3 linked regions of the Bombyx mori genome follow. The protein of the gene in region 2 purifies or fractionates together with the protein of the main gene of each other region. This does not show direct contact. Links are inferred from orthologs where the notes say so. Each region holds a gene or a part of one and is shown on either strand. Other genes may lie near its edges.

Region 1 (10,311 bases), on a different chromosome or scaffold from region 2:
TATTAAATTATATTTGTAGGTTATTAGTATATGATTAGATTAGATAGAGCGTGCGAGACAGCGCGCTCCTAGTGCACCCCACGCCCCCCTTTCCCCCACTCCCCCTGTCTCCAGCCCCAGCCCCCCCCCTGTCCCCCGCGCCCCCCGCGTCACACATGTCCTCACCAATATGTAGGAGTGCAGCAGCGCCAGTGCGTGGCGGAGGTCACGCGGGGGGCGGCGCAGGGCGGCCCGGGCCCCACGCAGCACGGCGCGCGCCTCCCGGTACCGGCCGCTGCGACACTCCGCGTTGCATATAATCACCTGTGTGAAATGTTATGTAGACTATATAGAACTCAATACCAATCTTTTAATTCGCGTCGTATTATATACATACGAGTAGATCTTATCGTATGAAAATATCGTATTGTATAGGTACCTATGTCGATATACATGTATTTTTTATTTATTACTTAGATGGGTGGACGAGCTCACGGCCCACCTGGTGTTAAGTGGTTACCGAAATCCATAGACATCTACAACGTAAAAAGCCGCCACCCACCTTGAGATAAGAGTTCTAAGGTCTCAGTATAGTTACAACGGCTGCCCCACCCTACAAACCGAAACACATTACTGCTTCACGGCAGTAATAAGCAGGGTGGTGATATCTACCCGTGCGGACTCGCAAGAGATCCTACCACCAGTAATGACAAACCTACCTTAAGTAATTACAAGAAAGAAGTAAGAAAACAAAAACAAAAAAATCACTTATTCCTAATAACATTCCTCTAAGCCAGGGGTTCCCAAACTTATTTTGTTTACTGCCCACTTTGAGAATAAATTATTTTTTAGCGCCCCCATATTTTCACATACATACCTAAAAACCACTATAGTGAGAGCTTAGTCGGTGTCTAAGAGTCCTCTTAGATGAAATTACAAATCGCCTCCCAAGCTTCTGTACAACGCTCCCATTTTTTTTTCTGGATCTGTTACCGCCCCCCTTTCAGCCTGCAGCGCCCACAAGGGGGCGTTATCGCCCACTTTGGGAAAGGCTGCTCTAAACTCTAGACGATACTTCACATCAGTTTAAATATAACCAAGAACAACAAAGACCAAAAGTTTTGTTGAAGCGCTCACCGCAGTTTTGGCCGCTTCCATGAACTGTTTCTTGGCCATGTACAACCTAAATAAATGACGTGGCTCCCGCGGTGTCCCGTCAGTCTCGCCCAACAGTAACTCTATTAACCTGGAAGAAAATACCAAGATTAACTTAAAAAAAATGTCTCCCCCCTCATCCCTGTAGGATTAAGGACCATCAAGAAAGACCTGAAGCCCACCAGTGTCTGCAAAAGACGTTTCCGTCATCCACTATAACTTGGTATTTTTTTGTTACAAGAGACTGTAATCCATAATTGTATTAAACGAAGTCATGTCATACATAACTCTTTTTTCAAACCCTCATAATCTGCCCATTTTTAGGTTAGCTCACGGCTGCTTTAGTTACGCGTAATAAAGAGCTGGATTGAGTTTGCGAAACAAAACTATTCTAAATTAGTAAACCCGTGTTACATATTCGAGGGTTAGCTGGTATCGGGGCCAGTCACAACATGAGGTCGATGTCTCAATTATATTATAAAAGGGCATGTCGCGCGGCCCCAAACCAGAACTCGTGAAATAGACAGGATGGTTGTACTGACTTAAAAATATACCCCACCACTTGTAAATGCCAATCACCATACCCTGGTATAATAGTCAGAGAACACTACTGACCATTCTCCAGTGAAACCCTGGATCGCCTTCTATGACACCTAAAAAAATGGAGTCAATGCTATTCGCGGCGCTACATGGAAACTAAAGGATTTGCAATAATATAATCACCTCCTGGTTAGTCGTTCGTCGTCGCTAGCCGCGGCCGCGTCGATGGCTACACTGATCGCCTCATTCTCGTCTTCTTCGGAGCCGCCGGCCTTCAGCAAGTGCGACATGGCTCTGTTGTAATCGGCAGCGTGGAAGTAAAACTTTCCCGCCAACAAATGATTCTTCTCCCCCTCGAAATGCAAGGCCAAGCTCTTGAAATCCTCCGAACGAGCCTGCGACGTCTGGATCAGTATCTCGCCGTACAGCTGCAGCTTCCCGTTCTTCCTGGCCAGCTGGAATGCGTCGTCGTAACAAAGCGACATCACTAGGAACTTTATCGCTGAGCTCGAGTCGTCGCTGTTCTGAAAGTAATTGGCGACCATTTTCGCCCCTTGCACCGATTTCGTTTCTTGAACTAAGTGAACTGCCTCGTCGATGTCTTCAAGTTTATCGAGATTCAATCGGATGGCCGCTTCGTAATCCTGAGCCTTCAGATACGATTTTAATGCATCGTGGTAGCGACCTTCCGCTTCCTTTGCTTTGGCGTACTGAATGTGGATGCTGGGCGAATTGATCTTAGGTAACAGGGCTTCGACTTTGAGCCAAGATTTCAGTTTGATGTATAGAGACGCTGCTCGTTCGGTGTTACCGGCGTGATCGTACAGAGCGGCCGCGTGACTGTACTGCTTCTCTTCTTCTAAGAGCTGAGCGCATTCCTTGAGCAGCGTGACGTCATCGGCGAGTTTCATGGCAGTGGTAACACCGCGCATGACGTCACCGCAGCGGATCGCAGTACGCGCTATACCGGCCTCGCACTTCCTATTGTGTTCCCTTACTTTCGCATCGTCTAAATTCTCGGTAATTATACTTTTCTCGTAGTTGGCCAGTGCCTCGTGATAATCGGCTCTGGAAGATGAAGAAATAATAAATGACAGCAAATCTGTCTTCATTGCACAGTTCATCTCATGTTATAGGGATCATCAGAGCTTGTAGATATCACCTCCAGTATAGCATCACTTCACAAAACCGAAGTCTCATCTCTATTACATTTTAAATAACTTAAATCGGAATGCCCCACGCAGCAGAAATAGACATTTAACCTCAGAAAACATAATGGGTCATACATCTTGATCTAGCTAGTGATCTGTATGCTTAGTGTGAGTTTTTTAACTTATCGATCGCGTAAAAGTTAACTCAAATTTGTAAGGAGCAGCGCCTCTAGCGGCAAATGTAGATCTATCAGGTCCTAGCGGCGATCGAGAAGTTAAAAACACACGCGTACTACACAGAGCAGTGTCGTACTGTGTGATATTGTAGCGAGCCTGAGTGCGGCCCTGCGCTGAGTACGGCCCTGCGCTGGAGCATCGCACTATATATAATATTCAACGGTACTCGCAAAATATTTTCATTCGGTTGAGTTGGAGACAAACATACGCTGGATGCTTAGCTATTAACATTTGTATTTGATCGCTCTTTAATTAAATATAAAATTGTAATTGGTGGTATCATTTCACTGCGACAAAACCACAGTTGGTGCCACAATATGATATTGCTGTTCCCAGCTTTGAGATTAGACATGTAGCATTGGGTGTTTGTATGTATGCATACGTGAGTTCGAGGTGGTGCGCGTGTTGCGCGGTGACGAGCGGCGCGTGCAGCGGGGCGGCGGCGAGCGCCCGCGCGGCCGCGTCGCGCCACAAGCCGCGCGCGCACGCCAGCTCTAGGGCCAGGGGCGAGCCTTCCGCCCACCGAGCCGCCGCCGCGCCCTGGCCCACGCAGGCGCATAGCATGCCACTGTGTGACAATACAACCGCAACATTACACCCATAATTCTTATGCAAAAAATCCTTTTGCCGATCGATCTACAATTAATATTACACGTCATCTCGGATCCTCCCGATCCACTAACGGTGCTTTTAGGTACCTCAAGCACCGGTCATCGTTCTCGTCGAACCCGTCGCTTGCGACGAAGGGCTCGAAGAGTAAATTAACTATCAGACACAGCCCACGGAGATGAGGCTCCGGTAACCACTTAACTTCAGGTGGGCCATGAGCTCGTCTACCATACTAAGCAATAAACAAAAAACGGTGCGCGTGCTACTTGGTGCACGTGGATGAAGTGAAACTTCTTTTTCGTCGGTAGTATTGTGGTTTTCTTCATTTGTCATCTTTAAATCAGATTGATCTTGTAATAGGGAATGCTGTGTATAAGAGATGCGACATCTTCAATATTTATACAACAAATTATATATAGAAAATAAATGTACATACAGTCGTGGTCAACTAATTAGGGACATTCAAGATAGTGAAGGGCTATAACCGGTTATGTACATTTAAATATAAAACCCTATTGATTTCTCAGCACCTATTATTTGCATAATGTGGTCCGATTATTATGCTATAAATGGCTGTAAAGAAAAGATTTAATAAATACAAAAAGTATTTAATATCAAAGATTAAACATGTATTAAATATTAAGGTACAATTCTGTAGTGGACATTTAATTAAGGACAGTAAAGTATAATGAAAAATACAGTTACACAAAACTTATAATCTTCAATGTTATAATATCTTGAACAGCTCCATTTTATTACGTGTAAAATCAGTACCCAGTAGCAAAACCTTTGTTAGTAATTACCGCTTGACACCGATGTGGCATAGACATTATCAGTTTCTGACATGTTTCGACAGGAATGTTTGCCCATGTCTTACAAAAAGCTTCATGAAGTTCATCCAAATTTGTATTACGATAAGTGGCAACTTTTTTCTTGATTTCGTGCCAAAGGTGCTCAATTGGGTTGAGGTCCGGGCTATTTGCTGGCCAATCTAGCACCGATACAAACTGACTGGTAAGAAACGACTTGACTGAATGGGCGGTATGTTTCGGGTCGTTATCCTGCTGAAACGTCCATATAATAGGGAGATGCTCCTCAGCATAGGGAAGCATAGTTTTTTCCAATATTGCCTTGTATTGATGTTGGTCTAAGTTACCCTGAACTTTCCTCACAGGTCCCACTCCACATCCAGAAAATGAACCCCATATTTTAATGTTTCCACCGCCATGTTTTTTTGTGAATTTTGGATTCATTTCCGCTTTTACAGGACGCCGTACATATTGCCTTCCATCTGAAGAAATCAAATTAACCTTGGTCTCGTCAGAGAAAAGTACATGTTGCCATTGGGCGTAGGTCCAATGTCCATATTTACGTGCAAATGCCCAACCAAGCATTTCTATGTTCTTTCTTTAACAACGGTACTTTGCGAGCCACTCTTCCGAACAACCCTGCTTCTACCAAACGTCGTCGAACGGTCCTCGCAGATACACCGGCTCTTTCGTTTGCCCCAAACACTTCGTGTTTAATTAAAATAGAGCCTAGAAACGGCTATTTCTTAGCTAACCTGGTTATCATTCTATCTTCTTGCAGAGTGGTTTTTATCGACACATTTAAAGCTGTGTTATAGCGCTTGAAATGTTGCACTGCATTGCATACCATAGTTTTTGAACAATTTAAATGTTATGCTATCCTTCGGTATGACCAACCACGCTCGACAAACTTCATGATAATTTTTCGTAGTGTTGAATCGCAACTTTTATTTTTGCCCATTTTTGTCTTTAAAATAATTCTCAAAACTTAAAATAAAAAATCTGGATTGCCGCCAAAACGACCACTAAACAATAAGAAAAGAAACAAAAAAGTATTAAAATTCCAATTTTGAAATTAGAACGGAATAACCTCAGTGTCCCTAATTAAATGGCTAGCCAGCTTTCTTTGAACCAATAGCACTATGATATTGTATCAGCTATACTGTAAAGAGGTTTAATGTTTAAGAAGTTGTTATTGTTTGTATAATCGCGCATATAAATGACTGATTACACTTACATGTAAAAGATATGGAATATTGCTAAGACTCGTTGAAAAATAAAAAATAAAATTCACAATTTGGCTTAACTAGAGATTGTCCCTAATTAGTTGATCACGACTGTATACCTATAGTTTTAAATACTTCATTAAAATATTGGCCGCTACTCGTTGCTAGCACTCGCGCTGTAACAGGTATACTATGCGCGTGCGGTTGAGTGTCGCGCATTCGCTCTCGCTCTGTCTCTTTCTATTCATGGTAGCGTTACACGTTTAACGCAACCTCTTTGGAAGTCGCATTAGAAGTTTCGCTTCAAAAATGCGCTCCTCACGTTTTCACCGAAAAGACCCTTTGACGTATTCATTCAATGACCTAAACATGGCGTAGTTGCGAAGAGGCATTGAACTCACCACAGCACCGACAAATCTTCAACATGCGCGGCGTCTTCCAGCGCCCACACCGTGCCCACGTCGCTCAGCCGAGTGTACACACGTATCGCTGCGGGCATGGCCGACGTATTACCACACACAAACATTCTCAAAGTTTAATGTCGCCTTTATTATTATTAACCTCAAGTTCGGGTATAATGGGTGTTCGTTTGGGATCTACGCTAAATTGGTGGACGAGCCCACAGCTTATCTGGTGTTAAGTGGTTACCGGAGCCCATGGACATCTACAACGGAAATGCCGCCACCCACCTTGAGATATGGGTTCTAAGGTCTCAGTATAGTTACAACGGCTGTCCCACCCTTCAAATCGAAACGCATTACTGCTTCACGGCAGAAAAGGCAGTGTGGTGGTACCTACCCATGCGGACTCACAAGAGGTCCAGTAAACCACATTCGAAGGACGTGTTGACACTTCACGTGAACGTCGTCATCAATCTTGAGATCCGAAGTCGAAGTCCCAATTGTATTATATAACAACAGCAGAAATGAGCAGAATGCGGATACTTACCCGGGCGGGATAACAATGCACAATGCTATCAATGTAGACTTACAATATGCCCCACCATTTTTAAATGTGAGGTTAAATTTTTGATCCCTTCACTCCGACGAGTGTTTTAGTGTTATCGTCTATATTCTCTCTATCTCTATATAGAGGTGTATTCCTGCTGACTTGTATACCTTCCCAGCCTCGTCAGAACGTCTTTAGCGTTCTGCCGGGAGGCAAGGGGCCTGCAAGTAGCCGCCCCGCAGGTCCTTCCCGGATGTTTCTACCACCGAATCGAAGCCGCACCCAATGAGGAGACCCGGTGAGAAACTCAGCGGGCTTATACCACACGGCGGGCGACGGCGGCTGGGTACCTCTGACTGCGTTAACAGTAACTTAACAGTACAACGAATTCCCGCAAGATGTTCAGAACCTACATATACATGGGTTTAAGAAAACTATTAAAGAACATCTGTGCAATAAAGCTTACTATAAAGTCAATGACTATCTAGAAGATTACACAATGTGGGAATGAGTTGGTCGCTCCGGGCATTTCAATATTGCAATAATTGTTACATTAAAATACTCATTGTTTACGCATCAACTCCTCTTTCGCAGAGTCGGGAGAGACGCAGACAGCGCGGCGAGGGAGGGGGCGGCAAACCGGCGGACCGGCGAGCCCCGCGACGTGACAAAACACACAACCACCTTCACTTCTGAACGGGACTCAACAGCTACAAGACGCGCAATATTATTACTCTCACAATATTACTCTCACATTAAAACCAAAAAGAATTTAATAGTATTTTGTAATTTAACGGCAGACTTCACAAACCACCTAAGAAAAATCACAAAGGAAATACATTCACAAATCAAGAACACTCATTGTAAAAATGAATATTAATTTTTTATTTATCTAATATTTAAAAAAAAAAGACATGCCCGCTGAGTTTCTAGCCAGTTCGTCTCAGGACGGAGGCTAGTTTTTGTGAATTTGACGGTAGTTCTTTTTGACGTTCAACAAGTAGGTACTTTCATTTATGTTGAATAATTTTTTTTATTTAATTTGATTTGAAGGTGTTCAGATTCAACTAACCAAATTCCACATTCAGGTCGGCGATGGCCGCCTCGCCGAGTCTCCGCCACACGTCGGGCTCGTCGACCGCGTCGCAGAACAGCCAGGCGTCACTGAACCTCCTCAGGAGGAGCATCTTCTCGATGTGCTTCCGTTGGTTGGCGACCCGCTTCTCGGTGTCCGGGTCCGCCAGCCCGCTCGTGTTGTGCGAATCTAATGGAACTTTTATGATGCTGCGAAGAAAACAATTATGAAGGTAATGAAAAAATATTAAAAACCCTTCGTATGTACAAGACTTTATAGTTCAATTTTCAGTGACAGATTTAAGACAGTTTGGTAAAAAAAAAACATTTACAATCAATGGAGGAAAGATAGTAACTGATCTTTTAATTAAGTTCGAAAACAGACTGGTCATACGTCCTATACGATGATGAGGGGTCACCGTCGCTCATAGACTTCAGTAAAATAATACATTATAACAATATAAAAATGTTAGTTATTGAATTTTACCAAGCGCACCATAGGAAAACGGTAAATCGCTTCTTTTCCAACCAATGTTCATGATTACTCAGCCGTAAGCGGTGATTTGACTGAGCCCCTGGTTAGAACAGCAGCGCTCAATCGATTTTTTTTAAAACTTTTCACGGGTAATATTAAAAAACAAGATTTCTCATTCCCTATCCTTCCTTGAAATAATTAATTCGTTCAACTGACCTGCCCCCGCTTGCGTAGCAGTACACGTCGCCGGAGAACAGTATGAGAGGGATCTGGCCAGGCAGGATGCTGGTGCTCGCGACCAGGTCAACGTGGGATCCGTTTATAGAGTTCGACACGTAGTAGTATGTGTCAATTTTGTCATCCGTGTACACGATAAACACGTTCCGATCCGACAAACAAATATCCCAGATGACCCCTCTGAGACAGAATAAACAAATTGCAACAATGTATTATTTATTCCACACATGTACAGGCCCACATACACACACACGCATTACTATTATTTAAGTGTGTAACTCTACCCGTAAAAGTAATGTGTGTAATGTAAACAACCGCGAAGTTTAAAACATCGGACTCGCAAGACGTCCTACCGCCAGTAAGTAAGTTAACGGCTAACCCCTAAGCCACGTTACTGTTTCACGGCAGAAACAGGCAAGAGTGGTGGTAAATACCCATTGGTAGGTACCTATTTCGATTACGATCACTGCATATTATAAAATACTAGCCGTATTCGCCCGCTTTGCTGGGCATTTAAAATTAACATTATTATTTATTGTCAATCTATTCTCAATTTGACCACAGACTTTCTCTTTCTCGCGTCGTTTCCTCACTGCTGAGGGTCGTGACCATCATATTTCGACAGGATTTTCATCACAGGCTTTATGAAAAATTCTAGAGGTAGATTCTCAGGATAGACAGAGATCTTTCGTATGTGGCAATGGGTGTGATGATGTATCTCTAACGTGACCTTTTTTTTTTCGTGTCAAAGCGGGACGCTTACGGTATTTCGTATATAAATAAATACATATAATAATATAGGGTATGTCGGGGTAAGATGTAATATTTGGTAAGATGTAATATTTAAGAACAAAATAAAAAAATGGTTTAAAAAATTAATTGAAATAATTTATTATGGTATCTTACCCTCACTGACATCTTAATTCTTACACCAACTTACCCTTAAAATAATATTTATAAATAATTTCGCAACAAAAAACTACTTTTCTACAGCAAAATTAGAATTACTTTAGTATGTATTTTGTAATACAATAAAAATTTGGGATAAGTAAGTGTTCGGTAAGTTTCTAATAAACACAAGCACAACAGATAAATAAAAGCGGGACATTTTGGTTCTCGTTGGGGACAACGGGACGTACAGCCTGAAAGCGGGACAATCCCGTCCAAAGCGGGACGTATGGTCACATTATGTATGTCCGAAGCAGCGTTGCCAAATGTACGGCAATTGCCGTTTCGTACGGCAATCATGCTTCTAAAAGACAAATAGTACGGCATACGGCAGAGTGGTCATTGCCGTATTCTAAAATACGGCAACAAGAGCATAAAGCTAAAAAAACAATTAATGTATCTAAAGTGATTACAGAACGTGAATACTTTTTGCGTAAACATAAGCGCATCCAACTCTTGTAATAGACAATATGTATGGTACGGGGAATTCCCTACAACCTACAACGCCTGCTCTTCGAGTCGTCTCCTCAAGTCGCCTCGCTCTTGTTTCATTGTTTGTACTAGCAAGTGTAGCTTCATTTTGACATTTGAAAAAGTGCAGTGTAGTGATACATGAGTTAATGTATAAAATGTGTATAAAAAAGAATCTTCAGTGCAGTAAACCTAATCAAAACAAAACAAAGAAACCGCCTCTTAACATCTACCATAAATGGAACAATATTAGCAAAATAGTATGAGCTTTAAGCCAACCCCCGAAATGATCAATAAATGAAAAAAAAACCATGAAATTACGGAAAAGATCAGATTATTGAAACTGAACTTACTTTAGGCAATAATACAGATTTGATGAGAAGAGAGGAGTGAAAAATATGTATTATTTTAATTTCTAATCTAGAAATAAATAATAATAAACTTTGAATTAC
Region 2 (10,989 bases):
ACAAAAGGAATCCGTCCGATGGGGGACACATCAAAGGAAAAACAAAATTGTTATTTTCACATCTACAACGTAAATGCGCCACCCACCTTGAGATATAAGTTCTAAAGTCTCAGTATAGTTACAACGGCTGCCCCACCCTTCAAACCGAAACGCATTACTGCTTCACGGCAGAAATAGGCAAGGCGGTGGTACCTACGCGCGCGGACTCACAAGAGGTCCTACCACCAGTAATTACGCAAATTATAATTTTGCAAGTTTGATTTTTATTACACGATGCTCTTCCTTCACCGTGGAAGTCAATCGTGAACATTTGTTAAGTACGTATTTCATTAGAATTAGAAAGAAGAAACGTATTTCATTATCTATCTATCTATCTATCTATTAAATACATGTATTTTCTACATGGACACCAAGTTTCAAGTCAATCGGATGCATGGTTCAGTAGTTATAACGGAACATCCGATAAAACCACTGTAGATTTATATATTAGTATAGATTATTCATACTTGTTAAATACTCGAAACATTACAATCTTTATCTTCCTAGTCACAGGAGCCACTTTCCGGTGCATTGTCGTTTTAAAAATATATACTCATTTGTTGCTTTATACAACAATATTACTAAATAATCTATTCATTTCGAAAACCACTGCTACATTTGTGGTCAGCACAATCAATCCGGCTTTGGAATGAGTTCCCCTCCACGGCGTTTCCCGAGCGCTATGACATATCCTTCTTCAAACGAGGCTTTTGGAGAATACTTAACGGTAGGCAGCGGCTTGGTTCTGTCCCTGGCATAATGCTGAAGTTCATGGGCGACGGTAACCACTCACCATCAGATGGGCTGTATGCTCGTCTGCCTACAAGGGCAATAAAAAAAACCGATAAATAAAGTTATATACGATCTGTACTATGTATAACACATACCTTATCGCCGGCATGGGCAAGACGCTTGGCAGCCTGGTGGTATAGGCCGCGAGTGCCTAACACGTCAGCGAGGCGCCGCAAGAGGACATCACGTCCACTAGTCCCGGCAGGAGCGGCCAACCTTTCACTCAATTCTTCCGACAATGGTGCCGAGCTTTGCTCCACCAACTCTAATGCTTCTTCATACTTAAAATGAATGAAAAATACAATAAATATATGGATTAGTTAGAGCCCATTAGGATTGTATTTTTTATTTTACTTTACAGACTTTACTTTTATTGCATATGAGTCGACTATTATCAAAGCCGGCAATGTGACTTTTGGACAATTATTGGTAAATCAGAAAAACAAATTATTGACTTTGTATTCCATTGGCAGTCACAAAACTCTTCTGAACGACATCTTAGATAAATAACAGGTTAAGTATTAATCTATATTTAATGCAGGTTTTGAACCGTATTCTTTGAAGGAGACGATTATATTCAAATCAATCTGTATTGACATATCAATAACATTTTTTTGTCCAAATGCACAGATTGCCACCTTTGATAATAGACGACTCATATATACTACATTTCTATTACACATTTTAAAATTGTTGGACTTTGTGGCGGGAACGCGAGGAGTGAAGTTGTGTGATTTGTTTTATTTTGTATATTTAGTGTTTTTTCAGGTTTAAATGTGTAATAACGGTGGTTTATGAACGGTTTAGTATCTGTGAAAGTGCACAAATGTGGGAAAATCAAACAAGGCCGCTGAACGTAACTTCTCTGGCTCCTCCAAAAAGTCCACTGAAAAAGTCTCAGTAAATGACCACCATTTTACTGAGATTACATTTCATACCATATCATCTCATCTCATTTCATTACATTTCATTTCATATTATCATTTTTCATAAAATTAAGAATATAAATTGAAATAAGACTTGACCTAAAGGTCTTAGTTACCAGGTCATAAAATCCCTTATAAAAAAATAAATTAGAATTGTTAATACTTTTCCTGCCGTAGCTAGAAGTGCAGCTGCATGCGAGTGATGGTTTGCCTTCCGTAAATGTGATGCCAGAGTGTGAGCCACTTCTGGGTCTACTCGATCGCCCAATGATTCTACAGCAGCAACCATTGCGTTTGTGTCACCGGAATCCAGAGCTAATTTTAACGCCATATGTATTTTTCCTGTTTAATTTAAAGGATTTCATTAAAATATAAAAAATCATCAGATACATGAACGATAGGTACGTTATAGAAACAGCGTTCTAACCCGCTTTTTGATACAACGCAATCGCTTGTTCTATTTGTCCAGCATTCTCAAGTATAGATGCTGCGTATAGAGCGTGAGTTGGTGAGGAAGAGCCAGCTCGCCAAACAAGATTCCAAGCGCTTGCCTCAGCTGCAACACGGACAGCCGACGACACAGCACCACTTTTCATATACATCTAGTTGAAATGTATATTTAAAAATATATTCGCACTAAAAAATTATTATGCAAGTGCATATTAAATACCTTTACAGCGTTTTCAGTTTTGTCGGGTTGCATTTCAAAATAGCGGGCCATTTGGTACACAGCGGTTCGATTATTTTGGCATAACTTCTCTGCCTCGTCTATTCTATCCATGTGACAAAGTAACCTAGTTTGTTCACCGAAATCATTAGCGCGGGCATATGCTGAAAGCGCTCCGTCTAGATCGCCTAAACTTTCCAAATAATGTCCCCACCATGTTATCAAATTTGTATCATTTGAATTAGCTACATGCTGAGCTAGTACCGATGTTTGGCCTTGAGCTATTAACATTCTGGGAACATGTGGTACTAAAGTTCCGGCACTTTCAAATAGCTTAATCGATGCGTTTGTTTCTCCATTAGACCACAAATGTTTAGCTAATTTGTGTTGTGCACTTTTAATCAATAACATATTTTCACCGTCTTTATTTCCTTCAATTATTTGAAGTAGTCCACCTTCCTTTGCTGATACGAGCCGAGTGATTAGATCAGGCCTTTGTGCTTCACGAAATAGCTTTTCGGCTTCTTCTATCATACCAAGATTTACAGCAAGCACTGCTACTTTGCAGTTGTCATCCATGCTGTTGTCATTCATGACTTTACGCATCATTAGAGCACCTTTTATGTTTTCCATTTTGCTAAGACATATTGATCCTACATCAGGACGTTTCAGAGATACGCACATCTTTGCTAAGCTATACCAAATGACCTGGCTGGTACCACCAGAAATACTAGAACCCACGACGACAGCCTTTTCTAAGTTTCCTGTTGTCGTATAATAAAGGAAATCTAAAACTTGTTTTACTGTGCTTGTATCGCAGTCGTTTACATCTTTAAATTCACTCATCAAAAGTCTCTTTATATTTTGCTGCGACAATATGACTACGTGTGGACTACATAAGGAACAAAGTATAAAATCCGTTTGAACATAATCTTCCGTCGCGGAGCACCAATTCACGTATTCATGAAGTTTTCCTTCATGGCAGAAAAATAAATAGATTTTATCTGATTCTGCTGATCTCATGTGTACGGCTACAATTCTCGGATCACTGTTATCCCATATTATTGCAATAGGTACCGTTTGGTATGGAGGTTTTGAACTTTCAGCGATGAGGATATTGGTTATGATATCGTTAGCTGCATCCCATAAGTAAATCCTTGGGTCTGGGGCTAAACCGGAATTAGCTACGCTCAAACAAATGTAACGTCCATTACAACTTACAGATGCTCTCATAACTTCACCAAAATCTTCAATAACTTGATAACAATTTTTGGGGGGACATGGCATTTTTAGTCCTTTTTTAGTGATCTCAGCTAGTTTGAGTGTTCCGTCCAAAGTAACAATTATAACGTATTTATTTGTTTGAGTGATACTAATTGGTTCTCCTTCACCTTCGCTAGTAGGCAGACTTCCGAGGCGTACACCCGTAACTGAATGACATTCGATGTGCGGATTAATTATACCAACTAGTATGTCATTATATAATATTAGCACATCTGTTTTCCATGGAAAGGTTCTTATCATTGAAAAATTCAAGTCATTATCTTTGTTACACATCCAGATCTGTAACAATTCGTTTTTGAAATATTAACTTTTTTTCAATGTTATTTCTTAATGGAAGAACGAGCTCATGGGCCATGTGAAGTTAAGTGGTTACTGGAGCACATAGGCAACTACAACGTAAATGCCGCTACCATGAGACATGAGTTCTAAGGCCTCAGTTTCTACAGAAAAATCGGCTGCCTCACCGTTCATACCGAAACGCATTACTACTTCACGACAGAAATAGGCAGGGTGGTGATACCTACCCGTGTGGACTCGCAAGACGTCCTACCACCAGTAATAACGTAAATTATAATTTTACGGGTATGATTTTTATTACACGATGTTACTGCTTCATCCTGGAAATAATCGTGAACATTTAAGTACGTATTTCATTAGAAAAATTGGTACCTGCCTGCAGGATTCCAACATTGTTGCATCGAATGCACTGGGCGTCTTATTCTTTAGGCCAAGAAGACTCCAAATGAGAGTACTGAACGGTAGGCAACGGCTTGGCCATACCGCTAGCATTGCTGACATCCATGGGCGACGGTAGCCTCTCACCATCAGGTTTACCATATGCTCGTCTGTCTACGAAGGCAATAAAAAAATCGTGCAAGTATTACAATATGACAATTCAGTTTTATATTTTGAACATTACTATTGATGTGATACACACAAGTTTAAAGCCCATCTGATATTAGCAGTTACCATATCCCATAGGACAGTAGACTACATGCAGCACAATAATTATACCCACTTTAAAACTTGAGGGTGAAGTCTCATTTTCATAAATATACTAGATATTCTACTGCTCTTGCCCAGTATCTGCTTATACTTGCCCAGTAACAAATTGCTGTTGCATCAGATTGTTTTGTTTTTCTGACTTAAATACATATGCAAAAGTTTATCAGTAACATTATTATTATTTGATCATCATGACAGAAGAGATGCTATTACTACTTATATTTTTTAAATAAAATAATAAGTACCTGTACATCAGTTCCATCTCCTATGGCAATATATTGGTCTCTGAATGCAAAAGCCCTTATGGTTACATTGCTCTTTATTATTGTTGTGTTTTCATTTATGTGATTTATAAATATCTCATTAGCAGATTTCTGTACCATTGATATATTGGGAGAGTAGCCCCAACAAACAGGTTGTTCCCGTAAAATATATGCACTGGTTATACAGTTTACATGTAACAGTGGGTTCATTAATCCTTCAGAACCCCAACTGACACCTTTAATTGTTCCTTTAACAGATGTACTACTTATCAGTTTCCAAATATTCCGATAATCTCGTCTCCATAGATATAAATTACCTTGTGCTGTGCCACAGCAAAGAGTATCACTTAAATTGCAATAAGTAATACTCGAAAAAGTGTCACCTTCAGATATGTTTTCATTCTCATTTAGCAGAACATCATTATCGCCAGTCTCACTATCCCACACTCTGACAACATTGTCTCCTGTGATTACAGCCACAAAGAAATTTCCAGCCAGTACAATTGACTGTCCATTTCTTGCAGCCATTCTTACATGAGTGTCAGTTGTTAATGAGCCTTCATCAGAGGTTAGGAATCTTGTCAAGCTTAATGCACCACCGGATTCCCATGCAACAAGAAGATATATGTTGCTTATTATACCCATGAACATTATACTGCCAGGGGCATTGAGTACTTCTGAGCATGCACCTGTCTGGTCAATATAAAGTATCACTCCATTATCTTGGACTGCATAGCATGAATGATTATCAGGTTGTGAACCTTCTCTTATTTTAGCTGTTGTTCTAGGTCTCCAAGCTGCTAAAGCATCTAGAGCATTTTCATCTCCAGCAACTGCTGCTCGAGCTAAACCCCTAATAGAAGATTCTGTACTTGGTCTAGGGGTACAGAAAGAAATATGAGTTATGACTTCACCAAGTTGATGATGAAAAGATGTAAGTGGTGCTCCTGAACTGGATTGCCAACCTGACAATGATCCTGCAGCATCAGATGCAAGCAATCTCCCTCCTCCAGAGCTAAAAGCAATATTAGTTAATGCTGCATTGTGAGGTGCTTCTAATCGGGCCCATGAGTACTCAAGCCAGATGTAAAGCTCTCCACCATCCCATCCAACAACCAACAACCGCCTTGTTGGATGCCAAGCAAGAGCAGTCACTTGATTAGATGACAAAATGGGCCATTCACAACCCTCTAAAGGTAAACCCTGAAATTGTATAATGATAAATTGAATATTGAGTCATGACTTACTAACTGGTCCTGGCAGAGTTGAAACAATTTTGATATAATAAATAATGAAACAAATTGGCACTGGAGTTCAACATAGCCACCAGTCTATTCGCCCCCTCGACCAGGTATCCGTAAACGGGTTCTCCAGTGTTAAAGAGAAAGAAAAGGGTTAAAACAATCAATTAACTTTTATGAATATTTAATATAGGACTTAATTTAATTTTGTATGTTAATACAACTTTTTCAATAAGAATAATGGAACGTTTTGTACTAGGTTTCTTTTAAAAAAATACAAGATTTTTTAATTATATAATATAACATGGATGTAATAATGCATGGTGCAAACTATTTTTTTTTTAATTCAAATAAATAATCAGAGATGGTATGGAATAGGTTTCATCTTCAATTGATTTTTCTTAAACTTACGTTTTCTTGGAAAATTGTAGCAAAACCACCTTTTTCTTGATTGTAAGATCCAATAGCCAAAAATGGCAATGAAGGGTGCCAGGCAGCCACAGTTGACACCACATTCTCATCAGAAAAACTAAGTTTAGTATCTATGTATAGAGTCATAATGAGAGTCGATATTATTTCTTTTACTGATTTCTGGTCACTGAATTTTTTCTACTTCACGCCATCTACAGATTTGTTTTTGCCTAGTTCACTAAAGTTAAAATTTCATCCAAAATTATTTTGTGTTTTGTATCAAAATAAATAGAGGTACAATCGATATGTTGGTTTAATGTTTACATCATAAGCATGCTGTGCTGTGTAAAGAATATATTATCTTTTTAAATTTATCGTATTGTATGTATATTTTCAGGAATATTTAGTGATTTTTACAGCATTTAGATTTACATTGAGTATATTATTAATATAATAATATTATGTTAGTGATGTTCTTGATCTGTATTTTATTGGCGTTTCACATCTAAATAACAATTTTTTTTATTCTCTCTCATATGAAATTAACTATTGTGTTTAGTAACTAAAGGTATTTATATCTGTTTACATTGATTGAAAGTTGTTGATGCTTGTCAAATGTTTGTAGGTACGTACGTACCGGTAAAATGGGGCGATTAGGGATTGAGAGGCGAATCGGGAAAAAACCGGGAAAATCTTTCGACGCTCAATATATGTTTTATATTCGTTGCAAAATCTTCCATTTTTTGTAGTTTAATAGTAGAATGTTGAAAGTTCACAAAACAACTCTGAATATGTATGATAATAGCTGCTAACTTATAAAAAATCGCGTTTCAAATTAACTTCCTGTGGTGGTAATTATTTTAGTGCTAGAAACTTTGCTCTCTATTTGCTATTTGATATTAATAGAAGACGACTATGATTTATAAACGTTATTTAGTGTTTGAACCAGCATATATATTAAAGGTAAGTCTCAGTTGTTATTGGTTTTAATGTATTTGATTAAATAAAAATACATGTAAAAATCTGTTGTTTTTGAGGATATTGGACGTCTTAGGTATAAATAACAACGAAAAAGGGGTCAATTGGGATGAGAATACGTGATATGGAAACGACCTAAGTATAAATAGGTACAGGTTTGTAGGGTTGTCTATGGAGTTATAACAATATTTTTTAAATTTGTTGGTAAAAATTTGGTTTATTCGAAGCGAAATTGGGAATAAGTCTTTAGTTGAAATAGATAATCAATTTAATATAAGTAAGTCGATTTTGCAGAGACATGTAACAAGAAAATATTTTATATTTGTTCAGAGTGGGGGTATTCATCTGATTAATCCATGGAATAACCGACACACCTAATCTATTAACCCAGATAGAAAAATCAGCCCCTAAGTACTTACCAAGAACGGAGAAATATAAACCGTTTCTAAGAAAGCCCACTATATATGTATAAATAAGTATATATATTGTTGTTAATGCACTGTCGATTGCACCTATAATTGAGGTGATGTTTGCCATGTACTTTTGTCAGTTTTTCAATTTTTTTTATTGATGATCACTTTGTTGGTGCAACTAAATAAATAAATAAATTAAAACTATATATAAAAATAAAAGTAGTGCCAACCCTAGCAAATTTCTCATTTCGTCCCAATTAACCGCAATTTTCGGGTAAATAGGGATTACACCTATTTTTGCATTTTTTGCTTAAACTGGAATGTTAGTTGCATAATTTTAAATTAGACAACAAAGATGCCCCCAAGACTCAATCATTTTGATCCTGATATAGCATTATATACATCAACAACTACTTTAAAATTGGTCATAAAGTTGGAATTTGTCCCTAATCGCCCCATTTTACGGTACACTACCTACATAGGGATATTCCGATACTAGTAAATACGAGTAGGTACTCGATACTTTTGATTCGATACCAAGTATTTATAGTATCGAATCAATCTTGCGATACATACTCGGTATCGAAACAAAAGTACTTTGTATCAAATCGAATCAGCATTACCCTTAAAAAACTTTAAAATTTCCGAGCGCATCATACAGAACGAGAGAGCAAAAGCCCTCTCGCTCGGTTACCGGTATTCATCCATCGCGTGGTGGCAACGGCGTGGCGTTGATGACGCGTCGTGTCTCCACTCTCGTGCCAGGCGAGTGCCTTTTTTCCAAAGCCAGTGCAATAATGTCTCAAACAAGGAACATATTGTCTCCAACATACCTCGAACAGTTACTGTTTTTGGGCAATCTTGATGCCAAAGAGTTTTTTGTTTAAAGTAGGTATTTGAAGTGACGCAAAACGTTTATAATAAAAGATTTCTTTTCATTCTCAATTTTGTTTTAATTATTGTCCTTCAACGTTAATTGTTTTTACGATAGCAGAAAAAAAAGTGCTAAAAGCATCGATATCAGTAAGTATCGATACTTTAGGAGTATCGAATAAAGATTTGAGTACTATCGAAATGAGTAGGTATCGATACTTTGATGGTATCGGAACATCCCTATACCTACAAAATAGTAGTAGTTTTAGTTTTCCAGCTGGACAGGCAAAGGTATAATACCATACAGCCTAATCTTTTTTAACCTAATATAATATATGTAGTTACATATAATAAATAATAATAATATATAAATATTATAAGATGTGTGATTTGTTTTATTTTATTTATTTAGTGTTTCTTCAGGTTTAAATGTGTAATAACGGTAGTTTGTTAATTGTTTACTATCTGTGAAAATGCACAGATGTGGGAAAAAAACAAAGTCGCTGGACGTAGCTTCTCGGGATCCTCCAAAAATTTTTGAAATCGTCGTGGTCTAAAGGATAAGACATCCAGTGCATTCGTATATAGCGATGCAACGGTGTTCGTATCCTGCAGGCGGATACCAATTTTTCTAATGAAATACGTACTTAACAAATGTTCACGATTGACTTCCACGGTGAAGGATAACATCGTGTAATAAAAAACAAAACCGCAAAATTATAATTTGCGTAATTACTGGTGGTAGGACCTCATGTGAGTCCGCACGGGTAGGTACCACCATCCTACCTATTTCTGCCGTAAAGCAGTAATGCCTTTCGGTTTGAAGGGTGGGGCAGCCGTTATAACTATTCTAAGACCTTAGAACTTATACCTCAAGGCGGGAGGCGCATTTACGTTTTAAATAAATAAATAAATAGTTACTAACAATCACGCCACGTTAACTGGTCCCGTGCTAAGCTCGTAAATAACCTGTGTTACAGGTACCAGATAACGGATATAAATGTACGATTTTTGTTATACACATACATATATTTAATATACATCAATAACCCTGAAAAAGACATTTATATTTATCATACAAATATCTTCCCTTGGCGGGATTCGAACCCGCGATCCCCTTGTGTAGTGACCATGTCACTTACCACTACACCAGACGTTGTAAACGTCTATGGGCTCCAGTAACCATTTAATACCAGTAGGGCTGTGATAAGCACAGCACTAATGATGCACAATACTTCATCTCTATAGCTACAGATATATTGCTAATAAGCATGTCGGTGATGCCACCTCAGAAAATTTTAGATTTCCAAAAATACGTCATATACGATGTGTTGTTATACGTAACTTTAGTACGCGACTTCATAAAACTTTTCCTTACCAAAGTGTTCAACGTTATTAGAGAAGTATTCACTTCAAAAATTTTATCTATATATTACAAAAGAACTGGCTTTGTTTTATGTTCCCTTTGACTACTATAATGAAAAAACTACTATAGCTCAATGTTCCTGTTACCAGGTCTTATAGCATCAAAAAAATATAAAAAAATCGTAAAAATAAATTGTCTATGGTAAACAGAAAATATATAGAGGGTGAATGAGGGTGAATGAAGTTAGCCCCTCAAAAAAAATTTTTTTTCCTGTTTTCTACTTATTTTCTATTAATTCGTTTGTTCATCATTTGTTCTTGATTGTTCATTGTTAATAATTGTTTGTTCCCCATTTATTTATTTTAAAAAAAATATTAAAAATATATCTAAAAGTTAGCCCCTCGATTGCAATTTTTAATATTTTTTCGTCCTTAATTACTTGTAAATATTCATTTTCGATTGTTCTTATATAAAATACGTTTGTTCTCTTTCGAAATTACTCATTTTTTGTTTAATTAATTGTATTAGTTGAATAAATGTATACAAAATATGTGTACTGCGCATGCCATAAGTGTATAATCTATGGCGCATGCGTCAACTATAATGCCTAAACTTTCTACGCGGTTTTAATCGTGAAAAAAAAACAATTATAAATCCTGAAGGATCAATTAATTGGTATACAGTTTAATTAAAAAAATTAAAAACAAAATAAATAAAATAATGTGCATTCG
Region 3 (10,805 bases), on a different chromosome or scaffold from region 2:
CCTTGCTTTCCAAGGCTTCAGCCCACCCGTGAGTAAGGTATACAAAAAGATCGCCAGCTGAGCGATCATGACGGAAACCGTACTGTCGGTCACTGATCAGCTGGCGATCCTCAAGATACTTCAGGAGCTGTGTATTTATTATTCGCTCCATTACCTTGAAAAGCGAGGATGTTATCGCGATAGGTCTATAGTTCGATGGGTCCGACCAGTCACCCTTCTTGGGGATAGGGTGGACGTGGGTGGTCTTCCACGAAGACGGAACCCTGTTAGTACTATAACACAGATCTTAGGCAGAGGCCGTAGCTCTCTAGCTATCACACCAGGGGATGTTGGGTGATATGGCACCCCCCTCATCCATAGTGGAGTTCGAGGCGAAGAGTTTGACCAGAAGGTCAGCCTTCTCTTTCGCACTATGGGTCAGAGTGTCATCAGAGTTACTTAGTGGTCGGAGACAAGACCTGCAGAAAACACGGCTCGCAGAGGGATAGCCTTTCAGTCGCTCACCAATTGGGATTTCGAAAGAAAAAAAATTATCGATTTTTTAATTGTATTTTAACACTTTATTATTAATAATATGGATATTTAACGCAAAAAACTTAAAAACATTTTTTTTTATTAATTATAAAGATTTAAAAATTTATAGAATAAAAAAAATCACGTGACTTATATACGCGCCATGATTGGTCACCACACTTGTGACGTCATAATGGTATAGCTATTTAATAACAGTACAGCGTTTACGACAAATACACGTGACTAGACTATAATATTGAAAATTTATTGGTAAAAAACGAGTTGTTAGTTAGTTACGATTAGCTATGTGTGATAAAGGATTTATTAAGGCAAAGTCTGAAGTTTTGGGATTATCACGGTGCACAGCTTGAAACCATTTAGTTCGACGTTTGTCATCTTGGGAAACATTTAAAAATATTTTTTCAGGAGTTGTACTACAAAGTATTCATGCATAGTCGTACAAAAACAAGAACGATAACTTTTGAGGTTCGACATCTTCAATATAAATATTTGATTATTTAACAATGACCACAAAATTAAATAGATCAAAACACTGTACTAATTATTGCCACAGTGGAGGCCACCACCTCCGTAGATGGGTACTGCTCAAGCACGCGGTCAGTCCCCTCTTGTACGTGGTCGAACAGAGTTGACCCCTGTGTAGGCCCCTGATATTGCTGAAATCCAGATTAAATGTGGAATGGAGGTCCACGGAAAAAACTTTTTTCCTATTGTCGACTATAATTTGAGTAAAAAACTTTAGTTGGAGAGTAAGGATTTGGAGAGGTAGGATGTTAGTGATGATATCAAGGCAATACATGAAATAAAGCGCAGAGCATAGTGAACATTCAACTAGGGGTTGCGCGAGGATCTGACGCAGGGTATGGAAGGGCCTCCAGTCCACCCTGCATACGATCGCTGGGATCCACTCCCGTCTCCGACTCCGGCACGACGACCACATGATAGGATTTTACACAAGTTGGCGGGACAGCTTCCCGGGGCGGAGTTTATTAGTGACACCCGGGTTCAGGTCCCCCACTAACCGGCAGGCGGTGGCAGACACAGTTTCACTGGATCCCCCTATACCCCCGTCAGCAACCAACGTCCCGCGGACTTGTGAGCACGTTTGCTCTGCATGTTGCAAGTATCACCAAAACTCACCTCCAACTAGGAGGAGGAAAAGAAAGTAAGAGAACTGGCTCTCCAACCCACACGCTAGAACACAGCTAGGTTATTTGGCGGCAAATTACAGTTGGAGGGTGGTGGCCACCAGTCGGACTAGGTCTTATCACCGGTTGTGTTTTCGGCTCCTGTTTAGGACCACCCAGGGGTCACTTGTAGGTAATCGCGGGTTAAAGCTACGGAAGCGGGAAGCATCAACCCCCAAAAAAAAGCTATTACGTTTTTTCTGACGTAACGCCTGACTCCAATTATCATACGGAGGGAAAGATTCTGCTGGGCCTGCAACCTCACCTGCACCACGTACAAGTTGAGATGAAACCAGGCCTCAGATACGTACTTGAGTGGACACACCTCTTGTAGATGGCGGTGCTAGGCTTGACCAGCAACTTAGAGTTCAAGATCGACCAAAGAAAGAAGCTTGCTGAATGAATAGTTGCTCACGCCCAATTGATGTGGGCCATAATACTTTCTTTAAAAAAACGACTCTTCATTCCTTACTTATGTCTCCTGAACCTCCTTCCTATCTAACTCCCTATTTTCAACATCTTCACTCCAGCCATGAGCGGGCTCTACGTTCTCTCCATAGCCTATTAATTCGTTGTCCCACACATAGTTCTAGTTATGTTCATAACTCTTTCGTCGTGCAATAACTAACCGTTGCACGTTCAAGTTAAGGGTTGGGCGAATGTTGTTGGAAAAGTTAGCGGAATTATCATGAACTTATTAAGATGAAGTTATTTGTTAAGGAAATTTATTAATATATTCCTTGTATTACTATATAAACTATCATATGTATGTATGTATGTATATATTATTATGTATGTATGTATATACTTTTTGTAACTTAATATAAATTTCATTGCACACACTATCCACTCTGCACTACCTTTGGTTGATTAGACATAAAGTCCGCCAATGTAAATTTTACATGAAGTGTAACAATTTTTTTTTTTTTTTTTATTGCTTAGATGGGTGGACGAGCTCACAGCCCACCTGGTGTTAAGTGGTTACTGGAGCCCATAGACATCCACAACGTAAATGCGCCACCCACCTTGAGATACAAGTTCTAAGGTCTCAAGTATAGTTACAACGGCTGCCCCACCCTTCAAACCGAAACGCATTACTGCTTCACGGCAGAAATAGGCAGGGCGGTGGTACCCACCCGCGCGGACTCACAAGAGGTCCTACCACCAGTAATTACGCAAATTATAATTTTGCGGGTTTCATTTTTATTACACGATGTTATTCCTTCACCGTGGAAGTCAATCGTCAACATTTCTTGAGTACGTATTTCATTAGAAATATTGGTACCCGCCTGCGGGATTCGAACACCGGTGCATCGCATCAACACGAATACACCGGACGTCTTATCCGTTAGGCCACGACGACGAAATAAAATAAAAAATAATGCTCTGCGAGCGCTCCCGCAACGCAAACCGCGGAGACTAAGCTTAAGGACTATACCATATAGGACTGCCGCGGTATTTTTCATGTTAACCGTGACACTCCACCGGTCCAGCTACTAAGGTAAAACTTTCAATAGCCTCGGTATCATTGAAATGACCGCTAGGGGAAATAAGGATGATGGGAAATAAGTTATTTTGTTGGCATCAGCGTTAATTTTACGTCTACTTCTCACGCGCTAAGATTCCACGATAAGAACGATTCTGCCCTCCAGGTACGACGGCGTGCGACTACTACTACATAGGCATGTTGCAGAGCCGTTTCCCTTTACAACTTGTAGACCCGTCCCATGGGCCAGACATCGTCGATGGCTTTCTCGATATTGAGATAAGTGACTGCCGAAACGCTGTTGAATTTTCCCGAACGTTCGTGCCTTACGATCTCTAGTAATCTTATGATTTTTCAAAGTCGTTCAGCTTGTCCCTTGGTATTAGTTTAAAATTTTATTGTTTGCTTGCGCACTATTCTGTTAGTGCCACTATTGGTTAAGAAATAGCACAGGTTGTCATTTCTGTTATAAAATAAGAATATATACCAGGGTTCGCCAAATGGCGGACCACGGTCCGCATCCGGACAGAGCAACTTCCACTACAGGGTATGGAAGTGTCTAGTGCAGAGTTCTGCATAAAATTTGTGTGTGGTGATAAATATTCAGAAAAAAAATAGCTTTGCAACTTCTTACTTTGCTTGGATCAACATATATTGGCGAAATAACATTTTCGTAGATGCACTTCAACAAGAACAAATTTCGATCACGACTTACTGATGAACATCTCCAGGATTTAACGTGAATAACTTGCACCAAATTACTTCAAACTTCAGACAGATAGTCCGCAACAAAAAATAGAATTTTTCTCATGGATATAATAAAATACTTTTATTATTTCCGTTATTACATTTGTTAAGTAAATCTTTTTTCTTTAAAATATTGTACATACCGCGATGTTAATTTCCTAAAACAGACCTCAACCGAAACTAATCGGTAACTTTCATATTGGGTATATATTTCTTAAAAACTTTCAATACTAATGAAATTTTTTCGATTTTCCTAGAAAGTTGTTGGACGTTTAAAGTTGAGGCGATTGGGTTCTGGAGGTGAGGGGCTATTTAAAAACAACTCTGCTTCATGGTTAGTATAATTTATATAGGCAAACACTTTGTGCACTATTACACCATTACAATATTTTATTTTTATAAAACCCTAAGATGTTGCACTGTCCGTGTCTAGATGAGAAGTCATTGTCTTCACTGAAGAGAAGACAATCATCTGTTTTAAATATTTAAATACTTAAGCGTTCCAATATTCGAAAACTGTAACCTTATAAGTGTTAAGTGTTGCCTGCCATTACTTACATATTCAAACTACAACAAAAGTCCATTGAATCCTTAGTAAATCTAACTACTACAAAAAATACGGTGTTGTTTTATTTTAATTAATTTCGCTCCATTTACTAATCATTTATATGAAAATCTTTTGTAACAAATATTTGAAGTAATAACCTATGTTTCCTTTGCCTATCTAGTGTCCTATGGAGACAAAAAAATCTTTTAAATAATAAACAATTTTATGTAATCTAAATACAACTTTGTTTGTATGTACGTATCACTACGGCTACGTACGGTACGGTACATTTATAAAAGTATAAGACTCATTCTATACAGTTTCAAAAAATAAAGTACCTAAACCGAGCTTAAATTAAGTAGAAATTTTGTTTTTAGGATTACAATTTTTTCACATTGTAGTTTACCACCGATAAACAAAAATGAGAACGTTACCAAAATGGGTAAATAAAATTCACGAAGCTGACAAAATTGAGTTTTCTAGGTATGAATCGTGTAACAACTTTGACTTTAAAATAAATAAAAATCATTAATTGATAAACCTAATATAAACAATTAATACACACAAAAACATAATTATTACATTAAAGTTAACATCTTGAACTCAACAGAAGTCGCAATCAACATGATATGACTATACTCATGATTGACTCATGATTTACTCAATAGGCTCGGAAAGCATTATTTGTGAACGAGTTTTACAGTTGGAATTAATTATTTCAGTGTCCACACATTATGCTTCAGTCCAGATGGAAGCCAGCTGGTAGTTGGAGCTGGAGAGAAGGTTATGGTTTATGATCCTAGGGATGGATCTCTTCTACAACTGCTGCAGGCCCATAAAGGGGCAGTTCATGCTGTAGCTTATTGTGGAGATGGCAAGAAATTTGCAAGTGGTAGTGCTGACAGGAATGTTATTATTTGGACATCAAAAATGGAAGGCATATTGAAATATTCGTTAGTTGATTATATTTACTTGGCAGATGAGTAATGTTTAGTTAAGAATTTGCAGTGATTCGGGGTAATGAAATTTCCAGATATTGAAACATGGGATAGTTGTAAATTTTTGTTTCATCTCATTGTAGATAAAAGTGTTCTGAATATTATTCAAGCACAATGTATTTTATTGATCATGATTATTTTTTGTTGCTATATTGTGTCCTTCAAAGAGTTTTTTTTGTTTTTTTTTTCTCTCTTTTAGACACAGTGAAGCAATACAGTGTCTCGCCTACAACCCTGTAACATTTCATTTGGCCTCATGTGCCATTTCTGATTTTGCTTTCTGGTCAATGGACATAAAAGCTGTTCAGAAACATAAAGTTTCTGGGAGAATAACAAGTTGTGCTTGGTCACCAAATGGGCAATATCTGGTAATTGGTTTAGCAAGTGGTGCTGTAACTTTTAGGGATAAAGTAAGTAATCTATTTGTTCACTATTTTGATTTTATTAAAGTCTATAAAATATGTTGAATTAAGCACACTTACCTTGTATTTAAATTTACTTCTGAAAAATATAGCTCTTAATAATTCTTCCTATAATTTTTTTTTTTAAATTACTTCATTGAAATATGCATTGTAGCAATTACTCAATGATTTTTAGTACAACTGGTAGCTGTTGAGATTTCTAACTGTAGATTCAATGTACTATTGTCCTAGTTTCTTAGTGTTTTTAATAGCTTTTATAATTTTATGTGTTTTATTTTTGCTAAACCAATATTTTTTTTAGGTAGGCAATGAAATACAACGAATTCTGAGAGAAGCTGCAGTTTGGGCGGTTGCCTTCTCAAAAATGACTTTACTTGTCACTGATTGGAATGAAACACTTTCTTTTTATACAATACAGGGTCAGCAAACACTAAAAGAAAGAAATATTGGTAATATGCATATTTACACCTCAAAATGTCATTAATATAAAATGAAATTAAAAAAGGATCCCGACCATCAGGCAATCCTCAGCTATGCCCTTGTCATTACTTTTACCCATTGGTTTTATGACTCGTATCAATGATTCATATGTGATCTGGCTTAAGAATGAAAATTAACTATTGTATTTAAAACAATAAAAATGGTAAACAAACTAGTTTAATCAATAGAAATAGAAATTGTAATTTTTTATAGACTTCATCAGATGCCACATTTAAACTAGTACCGTAGATTGGGGGGAATAGGAACTAGGGGTAGAATCAGGGATGTCTTAAACTAGGATGGGGCCCTTGGGCACACAAGAATTTGAGGCCCTTTTGGAAAGTAAAAAAAGCGAATTATAATAACATTTTTTTACTGAGTATGACCATTTATTATAGGTAATCAAATACAGTATGATATAATATGTTATTAATGATATTAGAATGCTGCTGGTTTTTTGGTTACAATTTCGATAACGGTTTCTTTCGGGATTTCTGTTGAGCAAAATCTTCTATTATAGTGATTTGTGAAAAAAGTGTAATGTGCCCGAAAAAATGTTTTGAGAATAAACGTGTGAGAGAAACTGTCGGTCTTTCGGGGCCCCCTGAGAATGGGGGCCCTGGGCACGGGCCCCGTGTGCCCTTATGGTAAAGACGGTATTGGGTAGAATAGGGACAAATCTGGGTTGTCACAATGCCTTTTTGAGATTTAAATTTGTTGAATTGAAAATAACTTTTATTTAGTGCTTAAGAATATTACATAGCTTAATTTGGTCATAGTCATTTGTAACTGATTATAGATATTGAAAAGTTAAATACCTAAAGGTAAGAATCTATCTAACAACTAAACAGTACCAGCCCTATCGAAAACTCTATTGTCCCCATACATGCCCTGATTCACCCCAAAAGCCGAGGTGGATCAGGTCAAGCTAGTTTTTTAAGTTTAATGTATATTTTTTAATGAACTATGTTAATGTATTTTATATGAAAATTTTAACCTCCGCAACCATTTTAATTTCAATTTTATTGGGATTAATTACCCTAAGATAAACGCTCTGAAAATTTGTGTTGGAATTGAAAAGCGTCCCTATTCCCCCCAATCTATTGTAGACACAATAATTATGTATTTAATACTTTGTGCAAACTTTTTCATACTAGCTCTCTATTTTTTACTGCTTAGATGAGTGGACGAGCTCACAGCCCACCTGGTGTTAGTGATTATTAGAGTTCATAGACATCTACAACGTAAATGCCGCCACCTATCTTGAAATATGTGTTCTAAGGTCTCAGTTTTTACAGTACAACGGATGCCATACTATTCAAACCGAAATACCTTACTGCTTTACGGTAGAAATAGGCAGGGCGGTGGTACCTACCTGTGCGGACTCATAAGACGTCCTACCACCAGTGTTCTGATGCCTTTATGTCCTTCACCTAAAATCTAAATGAACTGGGGGGAATTGATTTCCATAACGGGTATATGAAATGAAAGCATGAATCTCCTAATGGATAGAGTGTAGCGGTTTCTGAAGTGGAAAGGGCAACGGTCCATAATTCCGCTTCGCTAGTTAATTTCCTAACTTAATCATAAATGTTTTAATGAGCTCGCTGTATAGATAACGCAGGAGTAGCTGGCTGATTCTCCTCGGCTTCGTTAGCACCGCGACTTCATCGCGCTTAAGGTGTTGTGTGTTGTGTTCAAGAGCTTAACAGTCAGTTGAAATAAATTCTAAATTTCCATTCAAACATATATTTTACAAAGCATGCTGATAAGGTCGTGGTGAAGAACTACAATGTTTTAACCACTATTATTTTAGTTCTATCGTGTGAGAAGTCGCCAGAGTAAACATCTGTCTTGGGTTTTGCGACACATATGATATATTAGAAAATCAAGTACAACATGTTTTTTCAGGAATGGCGGCTGTCTCTATTATGTTACTTGATTCTTTGATCCTCGTTGGTGGTGTGGGGGGATGGGCGATACTCACAGCAGAAGGAGTGCCTATAATTACAACTTCTCAAGATTGGGTTTGGGCAATAGCTCCTTCACCCTCCTTCAATAATATTGTAAGTTAAAAGTATACGTAAATTCGAATAAATTGATTTGCAACACATGTACCGGTGACTTATTCACAAACACTAACGTTGATAGGAAGTTAAATGCTGCTTAAATATCTGTCAAAATTAAATTAAATTGTAACTTAATTTCACTTTAAAATAATTTTTTTTTGGTTGGTAAGGTGTGGCTTATAAGTATGTGGCAGTGGATGTATGTTAATATGACGAAATTATAAATAATCATGTCCTATTGTCTTGCTTGCAATAACGATAAACGATCGAACGTAGCAGTATACATGAAATTTGGGAATATTGGGTAAAATTGCCAATAATGTTGTGTGTCGGCCCTTCTTTATACTACTTATAGAAATTAAAAAGAATAACAGTAATTCTTGTGGCGGACGTCAACTTTTGTTGAAAAGTTGCGTTTTTACCTTATATCTTTAAACGAGCAATTCTTGTATATAATATATACATATATAATCTGAATCTTGGAAACGGCTCCAACGATTTTCATAAAATTTAGTATACAGGCGATTTCAGGGGCGATAAATCGATCTAGCTACGATTAATTTTCAGAAAATGTTGTTTTATTCGTGTTTTCAATAATCAACTTTATCGATAATAATAATAATAAACATATTTTTTTTATTGAAATACATTTCGTAATTAAATATAATTTCTAAAAAACACAATTAATCAAAAAATTAATAAATAGCAAAGCTAAGTCATCCTCTAGTTTTCGTTTATGTGAAAAAAATCCTGGTACCTATGCATTTCTTCAAATTATAATATTTTTCAAACCGGAATGCATAAGTTTCGATTAAGTGTTTCACAAAAAATTATTTGCCTTACAGGCTGTGGCATGTCAAGACGGGACGCTCTGGTGCTATCAAGTTGTGTTCAGTACTGTGCATGGTTTATACCGTGAGAGATACGCTTATAGAGAGAACATGACCGATGTTATAATACAACATCTCACCACCGGTAATAAAGTACGGATTAAATGTCACGACAGAGTACAGAAGATAGCAATTTATAAACATCGACTTGCCGTAAGTATGCTTTTTAAATTAATCATATTAATTTAAGACTCAATATTTCTCATCCTGGGACGGCCACCTACCAGATGAATCGACGTCCTAGTGAAAGTCGCTAGGTCACGTTGGATGCAGATGGCAACGGACCGGCCGCACTGGAGATCAATTACCCACACGGATTTCCTCCCGGATTAGGAGGAGGAATCTCACACCCCCGATTACTCTCTTTAGACAACCCATACCCTGGGCCAGGAAGGTCAAGTACCTGGGCGTTAGCCTGGATGCATCGATGACATTCCGCCCGCATATAAAATCAGTCCGTGACCGTGCCGCGTTTATTCTCGGTAGACTCTACCCCATGATCTGTAAGCGGAGTAAAATGTCCCTTCGGAACAAGGTGACACTTTACAAAACTTGCATAAGGCCCGTCATGACTTACGCGAGTGTGGTGTTCGCTCACGCGGCCCGCACACACATAGACACCCTCCAATCCCTACAATCCCGCTTTTGCAGGTTAGCTGTCGGGGCTCCGTGGTTCGTGAGGAACGTTGACCTACACGACGACCTGGGCCTCGAATCAATTCGGAAATACATGAAGTCAGCGTCGGAACGATACTTCGATAAGGCTATGCGTCATGATAATCGCCTTATCGTTGCCGCCGCTGACTACTCCCCGAATCCTGATCATGCAGGAGCCAGTCACCGTCGACGCCCTAGACACGTCCTTACGGATCCATCAGATCCAATAACCTTTGCATTAGATGCCTTCAGCTCTAATACTAGGGGCAGGCTTAGGGACCCCGGTAACCGTACTCGTCGAACTCGACAAAGAGGTCGACGTGCAACCTAACCCATGCATCAGCCCGCTGAGTTTCTCGCCGGATCTTCTCAGCGGGTCGCGATTCCGATCCGGTAGTAGATTCATTCGCGAAACAATTGCTCTTGAGTTGTTAGGTCTCCTTCGGAGGCGCTCGGGCAGTTGTTAGCAAATCCCACCCCTCTTGGCTGAGCCTTTGCTCGCCCACCTGTCCTGGTGAAACTGGAAAGGCCTTCGGGCCACCAGTAAACTTTCAATCATAAAAAAAAAAAAAAAAAAAAAAAGATCAATTAGAGATACCTATGTTCAACAGTGGACTGAGTTATAGGCTGAGATGATGATAATAATTTTTCATCGGTCTAATGTGCTTGGCAAGGTTGAATCAACAGGCATTCAGTTGGCACATAGACGAATAAAAGGGATTTTATAATGTAACTACGGCTGTAACTTCTATGCCTAACTGAAGCGACCGTGGCCTAATAGGTAATGC

The links.
Region 1: the proteins of intraflagellar transport protein 140 homolog (region 2) and WD repeat-containing protein 19 purify together in Homo sapiens (co-immunoprecipitation; 3 studies listed by BioGRID and IntAct, with this or other methods). This does not show direct contact. The link is inferred for Bombyx mori from reciprocal best matches to the Homo sapiens genes IFT140 and WDR19.
Region 3: the proteins of intraflagellar transport protein 140 homolog (region 2) and intraflagellar transport protein 122 homolog purify together in Homo sapiens (affinity purification with mass spectrometry; 4 studies listed by BioGRID and IntAct, counting the BioPlex papers as one, with this or other methods). This does not show direct contact. The link is inferred for Bombyx mori from reciprocal best matches to the Homo sapiens genes IFT140 and IFT122.

The regions. Positions count from the first base shown.
Region 1 is NC_085119.1:3,201,668-3,211,978, forward strand, and holds part of WD repeat-containing protein 19, read right to left. Parts: intron 8,621-10,311; coding exon 8,420-8,620; intron 7,939-8,419; coding exon 7,727-7,938; intron 6,196-7,726; coding exon 6,108-6,195; intron 3,631-6,107; coding exon 3,445-3,630; intron 2,743-3,444; coding exon 1,858-2,742; intron 1,226-1,857; coding exon 1,117-1,225; intron 304-1,116; coding exon 166-303; intron 1-165. UniProt on the Homo sapiens protein: As component of the IFT complex A (IFT-A), a complex required for retrograde ciliary transport and entry into cilia of G protein-coupled receptors (GPCRs), it is involved in cilia function and/or assembly.
Region 2 is NC_085123.1:7,170,639-7,181,627, forward strand, and holds the start of intraflagellar transport protein 140 homolog, read right to left. Parts: upstream 7,242-10,989; 5' UTR 7,061-7,241; intron 6,867-7,060; 5' UTR 6,776-6,866; coding exon 6,629-6,775; intron 6,180-6,628; coding exon 4,959-6,179; intron 3,988-4,958; coding exon 2,428-3,987; intron 2,360-2,427; coding exon 2,185-2,359; intron 2,100-2,184; coding exon 1,921-2,099; intron 1,113-1,920; coding exon 927-1,112; intron 1-926. UniProt on the Homo sapiens protein: Component of the IFT complex A (IFT-A), a complex required for retrograde ciliary transport and entry into cilia of G protein-coupled receptors (GPCRs).
Region 3 is NC_085107.1:13,131,874-13,142,678, reverse strand, and holds the start of intraflagellar transport protein 122 homolog, read left to right. Parts: upstream 1-4,696; 5' UTR 4,697-4,780; intron 4,781-4,878; 5' UTR 4,879-4,922; coding exon 4,923-4,984; intron 4,985-5,223; coding exon 5,224-5,454; intron 5,455-5,698; coding exon 5,699-5,909; intron 5,910-6,222; coding exon 6,223-6,370; intron 6,371-8,312; coding exon 8,313-8,467; intron 8,468-9,315; coding exon 9,316-9,513; intron 9,514-10,805. UniProt on the Homo sapiens protein: As a component of the IFT complex A (IFT-A), a complex required for retrograde ciliary transport and entry into cilia of G protein-coupled receptors (GPCRs), it is required in ciliogenesis and ciliary protein trafficking.